Linked DNA regions of Lepisosteus oculatus. The protein of the gene in region 1 purifies or fractionates together with the protein of each later gene. This does not show direct contact. Links are inferred from orthologs where the notes say so. Each region holds a gene or a part of one and is shown on either strand. Other genes may lie near its edges. The genes, in order: kifap3a, kif3b and kif3a.

The links.
Region 2: the proteins of kifap3a (region 1) and kif3b purify together in Homo sapiens (co-immunoprecipitation; 7 studies listed by BioGRID and IntAct, counting the BioPlex papers as one, with this or other methods). This does not show direct contact. The link is inferred for Lepisosteus oculatus from reciprocal best matches to the Homo sapiens genes KIFAP3 and KIF3B.
Region 3: the proteins of kifap3a (region 1) and kif3a purify together in Homo sapiens (co-immunoprecipitation; 9 studies listed by BioGRID and IntAct, counting the BioPlex papers as one, with this or other methods). This does not show direct contact. The link is inferred for Lepisosteus oculatus from reciprocal best matches to the Homo sapiens genes KIFAP3 and KIF3A.

Annotation. Positions count from the first base shown.
Region 1 is NC_090704.1:8,064,445-8,068,200, reverse strand, and holds the start of kifap3a (kinesin-associated protein 3a), read right to left. Parts: upstream 2,614-3,756; 5' UTR 2,248-2,613; coding exon 2,216-2,247; intron 1,174-2,215; coding exon 1,042-1,173; intron 1-1,041. UniProt on the Homo sapiens protein: Involved in tethering the chromosomes to the spindle pole and in chromosome movement. Binds to the tail domain of the KIF3A/KIF3B heterodimer to form a heterotrimeric KIF3 complex and may regulate the membrane binding of this complex.
Region 2 is NC_090711.1:3,904,984-3,908,739, forward strand, and holds the start of kif3b (kinesin-like protein KIF3B), read left to right. Parts: upstream 1-1,368; 5' UTR 1,369-1,555; intron 1,556-2,220; exon of another isoform or gene 2,221-2,442; intron 2,443-3,756. UniProt on the Homo sapiens protein: Microtubule-based molecular motor that transport intracellular cargos, such as vesicles, organelles and protein complexes. Uses ATP hydrolysis to generate force to bind and move along the microtubule. Plays a role in cilia formation.
Region 3 is NC_090706.1:24,925,507-24,929,262, reverse strand, and holds the start of kif3a (kinesin-like protein KIF3A), read left to right. Parts: upstream 1-991; 5' UTR 992-1,270; coding exon 1,271-1,276; intron 1,277-3,693; coding exon 3,694-3,756. UniProt on the Homo sapiens protein: Microtubule-based anterograde translocator for membranous organelles. Plus end-directed microtubule sliding activity in vitro. Plays a role in primary cilia formation. Plays a role in centriole cohesion and subdistal appendage organization and function.

The DNA.
Region 1 (3,756 bases):
TTCTTTCGCTCAGTTCCACATTGTTTCTGCACTGTATCTCTGATCAGATGTTTACCCATGAAAATTAACAAGCAAGTGTTTACATTTCTTGTGCTACCACTAGTTTTATTTTCCACACATCTATCCATCATTAATGATAGTTAACAGTCAAAATATAATAGAATTCCTCACAATGTTTTTTTTTTTAATCAAATCTATATGCAGATCAGGTAAGGCAAAAAGAACTTTATATCATGTGTGTCAGCTGGCTGTCGCAATTAAAAGTAAACAGGTAAAATGTTATACTGTAAACTTAACAGCATTGCGCAAATCATGTTTGTCATAATTGACTTGATCAGAGACTCCTCAATCATTTATTGCTAAAGAGCACTAAGGCATTGTCTCTACAGAAGCCTGTATAAAATAATGATTAAAAAATTATTTGAAGCTTGTATTGATCAGTACATACAGACAGTAGACTTTACTATTACATATCCAATATTTTATTATATTTATTGTAATAAAACCTGTTTTAAAAATATTTTACTTATTCTTTTTTCAGTGCAGAATAGAAAAGTATCCACATAATTCAATTCAGATTGTCATAACATGGATTGTCGTTGATGATGGATCTGAACCAAAGCTAAAAAAGAAAAAGCATTTGACCTGGTCTGAGTCCAATTTAGGTGATAACTGTCAGTCTCAAACATTTAAAAGGGGTGATTCAGAAATAACATTCCTGAGAGAACTCAGTTTTAGTGGGAAAGTGGCAAGTAAGCCTTAGCGAACTTCAAGCCCCGTACAAGGACTTAAACCAAGAGAAATATATTTATTGGCACCTATCAAATCCACAGCAATTCTTAAATATTTCAGTGTCTGTCCATGGAGATTTATTTTACAATAAATCCATTCCAACAGGTTTATATATATACTGCCACTTCTAAAAATGTAAAAAGGAAATAAAATATGAACATTAAAATGCGAACCAATGTAATTTTAAGAAAGCTAGGCTGCACACCAACTCTACAGAATATACCTATTTAAAACATCACCACTTCTTACATTTTCTGGCACTCTTTCCGTTCTCCTAGCATGGGGTCTCCCATCTCACCCAAAATAGTAGCTTCCACCTCATACTGGACAATAAGGGCTTTCTCAGTTGGATGGACATCAATGTTTCCTCCCTTTACTTTTCTGTAGGGGAGGAAAAAGGCACACACAAAACGACTGAAATGCATGCAAGGGCCAGGCTCGCCACTAAGCTTCAGGGAAATATTAAAACAACGGCTTCTTTAACTACTGCAATGGAAGCAAAAAGGGAAATAGATGCTAAGGACTTACCTAATATATTACATAGCGATTTTACAAGGACCACTGTTTGGGGTTATGTCTTTTAAAGCAACCAGATACTGTGAAATTCATATTTAATATCAGCATTTACCAAGTGGTATTCAATCATGTACACAAAAAAAAAAACATGAAAAATAAATTGGAGGTATTTCATAGATATTCTACTTTCTCCTGTCTGGCTCATTTGCTATCATGGCAGCTGAATTAACAGCAAGCAGTCATGCATGATATTGTTTCCTCATTTGTATGGTCTTCTAAGATATAAACTTGGATATAAGGTATAAACAAATCAAGACATAATTCTCTCGCAAACGTCAATTGTCTGTGCTTACAACTCTTTTTTTTTAATCATACGTATTGTGATTATGATAATAACATGCTGCTTAGCCAGACGTTGAGTGACACTTGTCCCTCAAAGAGACAATGGGGTTTGAACTGGTGCTTTAGAAAGCACCGGAGGACAACAACATGTTTATTTTAATATTATGTTTGTTTCCTATTGTGCTGGAATATAAACACGTTCTGCTCCCAGCACAATATGGAGCAGAATCAAACGATAACGTGATGACCTCAGTTATGTGAAAATAATCTAGGTTCCTTTTTTAACTGAAGAAGAAATTACACTAAAAACACTGACGGCCCACACCCAAACGAGCACATACAATGAATAGCAGGGATTCGTCTTGGCAAATGATTCAAACACAGAACTGCAATATTTTCCAGCAAATGGCATTTAATACATATTCGATGGGCACGTATCAGTTTATAGCGCATTTTCTGATAAAAAGAGATGACATGAAGCTATCCCATCTTACACAGTCGCAATAAAAAGCGTTTATTTTTGCTTGCTTATTTTGCTGACAGCCCCTGCAGAATTGCATCTTACCTTTTTAAATACCGTGCGTCTTCCGTTTGCATCGTGTTTTCAATTTTTCTAAATTCGACGATTTGCAATGTTTGTTTCTATGAATTCAACGATCTCACTGTACAGTATTCTATATTTTATGATACAGTAATGATGTGCAACCGGCTGTTTCCGTTGCCAGGGTAAGCCACTACTCATCCCAGCATGCAATGTAGCAACAGTGCAGATAGAGAGGGTCGGAGCTCAGCTGTTTCTGCCGGAATGATTTGTTCTTGCGCCTCCTAATGGCCGGGATGACAAAAACATTTCAGCAGTGCTGAAATCGATAGCTCTTACAGATACCGATACCAGTCATAAACAAACAAGTCCAACCAAGGCCTTTCCTCTTATTTTCGTACAGCGTAATTACTGAATTTGTTAAAGCATTTCGGAACCCCCCAATTTTCTCTTCTATGCCTTTCTGTTGAAGTAATCGCTTTTGACATAACGTCACTATAACCATCATTTTGACTTCAAAGTGACAAATCACCAGCGAGGGCGGTTTAAGGGGTAACTAGTTAACACTGTAGTTAACACTGTCCGTTGGTTTAAAAAATGTACACGTGTTTTTCTGGCATCACGATCGATGACAAGTATTACTTTTTATTTATAAATGTGGAAAAGCAGTAATTTTCTACCAGTTTCGTTTTAAAATGCATTATAAATAGTACTATTCTGATATATTTAAGCAGTTGACATCGAAATGCGGTTGGCAGGATGGCATTTACAAGCAGAAAACGATTCTGTATTTAAAAGAAATGAGATACAGTACATTCCTAAAACTTTTATCATATGGTGAAATTAACTTTTTTCCCCCTTGTGTGAGTAGCACAGATCTTTCAGGATACTAATTAACGAGTTAGTGAAATATATAGTACCCAATGTTCATGTCTTTCCTTTGAACTTGACATTATTTGTAATAGCTACATAATTGTTGTGAAAACATTAACTAACATACCATCTGAAAACGATATCCACTGAATACTAGACTGTGTGATAGTTGTAAGTTTTATTGATCTGTTAACTTCTGTTTTGTCAGGCTGTGGGGTATTTAGGTTGAAATGCTTTTTTCAGTTTTAGATTTTTGGTTTGCTTTTAACGTTTACTTTCCTACGTTTGTACTCAGTACTCAACTTGGCTTCATAACTAGGTTATGGGGGGGGAGGCTGAGGTTTTACAGATGCAGTATACACAAGAAAAACGTCTGCATTAAATTTTAGTTTATTTACTTACTGCACGATTAAATTGTAAAAAAGACGGGTGAATGGCCTGCCCCTGGTTCGCAAGCCTTCTTCTCTACAAATATTTTAAAGAAAAGGTTACAAAGTGTTCTTCTACTTCCTAGGATAACCTGTTGTAAAACATCTTTCAATTTTTAGTGGGAAATTCAGTTTAGTGGTATTACCTCAATAACTACTGTATGTATTTAATAGAGAAGTTTGATAAAAGTCATTTGTGGAAATTATTATAACATTGTTAAGACATCCATTATGAAATTCTTATCATTCAAGCTAAAACTGTTT
Region 2 (3,756 bases), on another chromosome or scaffold:
CTTTTCTGAGATCTGCGATTTAATGATCATGCATATTTTATTTTGACATTGATTTTAGTACCCATTCCCATTTTTAATGACTCTTTCTTTCAGTCTCTGCTAGAACACAAGCACAAATTCTGGTAAATTCTGTAATCTGTGGATACAGAAAGCTTCAACACATTACATTTGTTTCAGCAGTTTGATAACAGATGTCTGATTTGTTGTGGGAGATTGATGGACGGGTTTATTAAACTTCCAAGAATGGAACAGAGGAGTTTTAGGAATTATGGTTTTGGTGCTTCCTGATCTTGCTCTCTGTCAGGAAATCTGGGATAATTCAGATATCTCGTGTCCATGGGACTGGACAAAGTGAGCAAGATGTGAGAACTATAGCTGTAGTTCTTTGGAAGTACATAATTGTGTGAAACTTTCTTAAGGCTAAGAAAAATTAAGTGTTTTTTTCTGTTGCTTTTGTCATTTTTTACTTGCTCAAGTGTATACATGTATATTGGGGTTGAAAGATTAGAGATGGGTTCTTCCCTGGTTTTTGTACAAGCTTGAGAATACCAATTGAAACAATTTTTTTTTAGGAACAAAATGATATAGATGTTCAAAAGCTGAAAAAAAAACTGTATTTTTTTATACACTTAAATTGAAGATTCTGAGTACATAGAGTACCTGAGCTCAACTGTATTACTAAAAACCCAGAAAATCATGGACTGTCAGGAAGATTTTAGAGCTTTTTATAGCTTTCACTGTGAATGCCATTAGCACTGTGGATGTTGGGATTCAGTGCTACGTTTAGATGTACTATACTCAGACATGACTAACAAGATAATCAGCTGTGTTTTGATACTGTCATTCATTTTGAATTGTGTATTCTGAAATATCGGAAGTATTTTTTCAAACAAAAAAAACAATTTTACATGTTTGTCAGTTTTGTCAATTTGACATCAATTTCTGTCGGTTTATATTGGATATGTATTTTGTATTAAATAAACTGATTTCACCGGTAATAAACTTTTGAAGCGATTTTCTTACAATACATGATTGTGTAAGCTTTCTTTTTATTCATGCAATAATTTAAGAAGATTAATCCTGGGTTACGTTTCATTACAATATTAATTTCTCTACAACATGTTAATTTTTAATTTTAGGACTGAGTCACTGGAATTATATCGGCTATTAAATTACCAGCACCATCTAATTTCATAATGCGTTTTTTTTTCTTTTAAAGGGAGAGTCACGTTCAATTAAATTGGCAAATTTAATCTCCTCTGGGTGTCTTTTTTAAAAAAAAAAAAAAAACGACTCGGTTTTACAGTGTGGCCGGACTGGAGAACAAATAGGTACGCTACAATATGTAGTGCACGTCTCGAAAGCTGACTTTAAAGCAGTTGTCTGTGCTCAGTAGGATCATCGATAAGGTGCCATCCTGCACCATTTCATTATCATCGCAGTTGCTCTGTGTAGGGAGGTTTACTTCAGCCGGTTTCCAAGGAAGTTCTCTTTCCATCCGGGACAGTGGAGGCTGAACAGTAATGGCTGACGACCGAGAGGGACTGAACTGCAGGTAACCCCGCATTAAGCGCAATTTATCCGTGGTATGGTTTTGCCTGACCTCGTCGGGAATTAAATTAAAACCACTTTAAGAGCTAGCGTGCTTCGACGGACGAGTAACAGGATTAGAGGAGGTTGGGTTTTTTTTTGTGCAAATTAATTTGTTTTGCCGTTGCTAGGCCGCTTCTCGGGTTGCTGAGGTACCGTAGTGATTCGTTTTTTTTTTTTGCTTTCCCAGTCAAGGAGACGTGATTCACATGAATGCTCTTTTAAATATGGGCACAATCTTTGTAGACTTAATTAGCTTCATTACGTTTTAGTTGCGTTTCTAAAGGTTGTTTTGATTGCAGTGCATTTTTTTCAATGGATAACGTACAGAATGTCTGTTAAATGTTGAATATCTGACCAGACATAATATTAGTTTTCAGTCAAAAGTATGCAAGAATAACCGTAATTTTGTAATACTTTGCAGTACATCTTCTCTTGTTTTCTACCGTCTTGTAGAGTAGCTGCCTTGTGTTAATGCGAAGGAGAAAAATGCCCATCCCTAGTATGCTGTAGCGCATCCCAACAGCTGAGAAAATCGTGGTTTGAAGAACGCAAAAAATAAAACAAAAGTGCATCTAAAATCTTTAAAAGAGTCCTATTTAGTGTTAAATAGTTTAGTTTCCCGTACCTCTGCTGCATGTCAATAGATAAAATATCGTTTCATATTGGAGATGTCCGTACTGTCTGTAGTGGTGGGTGAGGTAACGATTTAAAGGCGTATTCGAGAATTATTGTGAAAAACAAATGCAGGGACAAGTTTTAGAAAGGCGTTCAGGGTAGTCTTCAATACCTTTGGGGCCTCATCGTCCAGTAACTGATTTGGTTTCAGGAAATTCAAAGACGCTATCCGAGGTAAGGTGCTTTTGCTGAGCCAAGTCTGAATAACAGCAATCGAAACTTGCTTACTCTAAATGGGGTACCTAATATAAGTAGTCTTGGATCAGAGATGGAATCTGTGAGACTATTCTGCATATTGTTTGAAATTATTTTGAATATTATGAGAGTGATTTATTTAGCTAGTGATGTGCTCAAAACAATTCTGTCATTAGATCTAACGTGTTTTCTTGTGGTCTGCTGCCCTTAATCTACAAAGCTAAAACCGTAAAATAAAACGGTTTCAGTTACGGTGAACCAACTTTTCCTTTTTTTTATGCAACATTAAAAAAAAATTAATGGATTGCAAAAGCATGTTGTAGTATTTTGTGTCTCAGTAGCACTAAAACCTCAGGGATTGGAACAGGCAGAGGTAATTCGTGAATTTGCCACAGCTGAAATGAGCAAAAAGCAGAAAAGAAGCCTCTAAGATAAGTAGCTTGCATACGGAATTCCATCCTGTATAGGCCTGAATTTGACAATCTCTATACTCTAGAGTTTCATGAACACCGAACTCCTCCGTAGTGTTGTTATTAGGATAAAGATGTAGTCTGCAGGAGCTGACAAATCGAGTAATCGGAATGGTCTCTGTTCACATCCTCCCAGTTAGTTATTCATGTATGCAGTGGCTTTTAGAAGATGGGACTCCACAGAGAGAAAGGCTCTCTGAATCTTCCAGTATCTCTGGGAAGCAGTAAATATTCAGTTAGCCCTCCTCTGTTTCTAGCCGGCATAGAAGCAAAGCATTTATTTGGGATGGGTAGTAGATTAGTGTCCCCATGACCTTATTTCTAATTAGTTTTAAACCATTCCCTGAGTATAAAATACTCAGTGATGTCCTGTTTACTAGTCAATTCTCATGAAACCTTCCCATGCAAAATTTGTTGAAAATACTATGAGACTCATATCCTCACTGGTGAAGGTTGGTGCAAGGAAAGTTCTGTAAAATTGATGTTTTCACCACTGTATTGTAGGCACTGCTGCCAGCACCAACAGATGGATGAACTGATATCAAGTGCATGACATGTTTTTACCGTATACTGTTACACCAAGGGGTTGTTATGTTTAATTTGATTATTGATTTTGAAACAAGATCTCTTGGCCCCAAATGTGTTGGGCTATTCTGTCAATATAAACATTGCATTTCAAACAGATGCGCGTTTAATGGTGAACAGTGAATCACTGAGACAAAAGTTTGGTAAAATCTTGCTGGGGTTGCATTATGACATTTAATACATTTACTTGTGGCAGCAGTGTGAAACTGTGGTTAAGGTTCTGAATTTATAACTTCTG
Region 3 (3,756 bases), on another chromosome or scaffold:
GTCTTGCACAATACTCACATTGCTTTTGTTATATGTGTGAAATCCTTGTTTTATTTTATGCAAAACGTTTGACAGTTCTTTACCATTTGCAGGGTGGGCACTTAAGCAAGGCCATTTGTTTTAAATACAATGCACAATCTAAAGGTGAAATAATGTTTACATTTTGTTGTTTTTCATTTTTTCACCAATTTGTATTGTTCCTTACAACACCAAAGTCTTTAAATATATAGTAAACTAATTTTATTTTTAAGTAATTGTAACTGGTTATGTGTTTAAAGTCATATGCCTATATATTTTTATATGCCTAACTATTGTCTAACTATTTAAAAGCATCCTATCTCGAAATATGTTATTGAAATCACATAATAATAAAGCAGTTAGAAAAAAGTATGGCCTATGGAAAATCTTGTTTGTGTCAGAACTCTTCTAGATTTCTCACTCAAGCTGCTCCAGTAATTAAAAAAACAGAAACATGCCGTTAAAGTTTCCTCGAGAGCTGATGTAATTTATTATTATTATTGTTTTGGTACATTTTGCATCTTATTTCCTTTCTTCCAACAGAGGATTCTTGTCGCACAACGGTGCCATCTGCTGGCTTTACAACAGCTGTACACGTCTCAGACATTTTAACTACAGTACTGTATACGCATAAAACAGAGGTAAGCGGCTAATTAAATTACTATTATTATTATTTGCTAGTATTTATTACTCAATATTAACACATATATTAACAACAAATATTTATGATTAGTTTAACAGTATTTGAAGAAGAAATAGCAGTTAATTCCATAATGAAAAGAGTAATCACTGGTTTTGCTGCATAATATAATAAATTCGATGACCTTAAGGTAATATTTTCATTGCATTTTTTTTTGTTAGTCCTTCCCTCTGTCCACTTCGATTGGGTAATTTTGTTCGTCTCTGTATTATTATTGGTTAAACAGTCTTTCATTCACATGACATCATCGACAAAAGATTTACCTTTAAATGAAGTTGATTGGTTGGCTTGGGGAGATTTCTACTTCCAAATGGACAATTTTTATGTCAGTCCTTCCTATTCCCTACAACAGTTGGAAAAGGGAAACTGCACATGCTCAGTAATTCCGTGAGGAGAAAAAAAATGCCTATCACCTAAGTGAGCGCTGTGACTCTGCCTTCGGTGTTTTTAATTTTTAAAAAATCAGATCGGTACTTAGGCCTGTTTCGTTTTAACGACGAATGCAAGAACATCCTATCGTCTGCCTGGAGACAATTCTCGTATTTTGAGAAAATGCCGGTAGGGAATCTCTTTCTTGTGATCGAAATCAGTTTCTGTGTACATGATATAAGTCAGTTTAGCCGTGGTACCTCCCTTTCTCTATGGAATTGCCGTGTTGCTATGGCAGGCTGGTTTGTTAGCGGAGAGATATCTTGGGACAGTCGGCTTTATGCACGAACTGGGTGGCGAAAATGTGCAAGAAAAGTACTGTATGTCCACGCTTCTTTACGTATTTATAGGAATAAACACCGTTCTTCCCGATTGAAGACATTTTTACGATTCTCCACTCCACCGGCTACAAATACCAGTTCTCTTAAAATAATCTAATTCATGTCAGTGCGTCTGTTTAGTTAATTTAATGCTTAAAATGTAGAGTATTGTTCATACCGTCTGTGATTTGTGTGATATTGTTGTTATATAATCATAGTAGGTTATACTGCTTCCTGCGTTTTTGTAAACAACCCATGCAAATTAAAAACGCAAAGTCTGCATCGTCTGTTTTAATCAGGTTTAATCTCTTTCCATATACGGAAACTAGCTTATTTGTTTTATGCCTCGGTGAAATTTCTGTTTGAAGCAATTATTATAAACTGGTTGGTACAATAACCTTGGCGACAGGATGGAGACAGTTCAGTTTACAGCAGTGCGATGCTGGGCAGAGACATCACCAGATACATTACTACTAGGCCCATCTCCATATTTCTCCCTGTTGTAGTGAATATTATTGAAAATGTGGATACAGGCTTCACTGCACACACTCATTCTGCCCTTATCATTGCAGAATGACAGCATCACCAGAACAGGGCGTCAGGCAACTATTTTAAAATTCAGTGCAAGCTTTCACACTAGAATAGCAAATTTCATCAAGGTTTTAAGGTGCATTAGCCTTTTCTTCTCAAGGAAGGTAAAATTATTATTTTATAATATAGTATAGTTAGTTCTTAGAGGCCACTGGCAGAATTCATTTGTCCTGCTTGTAATTACCGTTTAATTTAGTACATGTACATGCTGTTTTTAATGAAGCATTGGAACACCCGTTTACAACGTGAAGGCGAATGATCTTTCACCATATTTTTAAGGTGTAGCTATCAAAGGCTTAAAAAAATTAAAAATATACAGTAAAACAATTTATAGTACACAATGCCCCCCACCCACGAACACGCATACTATACTCACACGAAGGGGATAAGTAGATAAACGAAGGTGAGGCTCAGTTAAAATTCCTGTTGATTTATCAAATAGAATTTAATTTTGAAGTTGCTTCAGTTACATTGTGGGGTTGTCCCTGTCTTTTTTTGCGTATACTTACAGAGCTCATGGATGTGGAGACACTTTTTCTGTCATGTAGCGTAGTATTCTGTGAACATTGATGATGACTATGAGAGACCATGACTATGTCCTGGTACAACACTCGTGACCTTGTGCTTGGATGTTGTATTTATTAGGGGTTGGGCATAATATAATAAAGGACTGCCTAGTAGTAGTTAATGCTGCTGCTTCCAGGTTAAGTTCTAAAGTTGATTCCTCCCTCGGAAATCTGGATTGTGGTGTGCTCTTGGACTGTCACCAGGGGGCACTGGTTTCCTGTCTTTACCCAAGGACTAGTTCTGGGCTTCTAAACTGTAACTTTCTTTGTGGCCCTACAGTAAGAGTGTGGAGTCCAGAGGGAGAGAGCAGTCTGTGAGCTCTTCGTCCCCCTCACACCCCCTGATTCTGTGATAGGCTTTGGCTTGTCGCAACCTTTACCAGAATTTGTGACTTTTGGTAATGAATGGGTAACATAATAAATAATAATACTTACACATATATAGTGCTTTTCTGGACACTTCACTCAAAGCGCTTTACAGGTAATGGGGACTCCCCTCCACCACCACCAATGTGCAGCCCCACCTGGATCATGCGACGGCAGTCATAGTGTTCCAGTATGCTCACCACATACACCAGCTAGCACCAGGAGGTGAACATAGTGATGAATAGATGGGGATTATTAGGCAGCCATTATGGATAAAAGCGAGGGTTAAATTTAGCCGAGGCTCCAGGATGACACCACTACTCTTTTAGAGAGATCCCCTGAGATTTTTAATGACTACAGAGAATCAGGACCTCATTTTTACATCTCATCTGAAAGATGGTGCTTTTTTACAGTGTAATCTTCCCATTACTATACTGGGACATTAGGACTCGCACAGCCTGCAGGGTGAACTCTCTACTGGTCCCACTAACACCTCCTTAGCAGCAACCCTATATATAGGCCAGGCTCACACCTGCTTAGCTTCAGTGGGTTTCCCATTTGAGCTGCAAGGTAATATAGCTGCTGATTATAAGTTCATGAGTTCTTGAAGGTATTTACATACTTATGTCGTTTCCCAATATTGGGATTAAATAGGAGAGGCATGTATAGCACCTGTCCACTTAACATTCTCTTATTTCTACAGAGTAACAAGCTGGACAGACCTGAGAAATCGGAGGTCAGTGATAATGTCAAGGTGGTGGTGCGA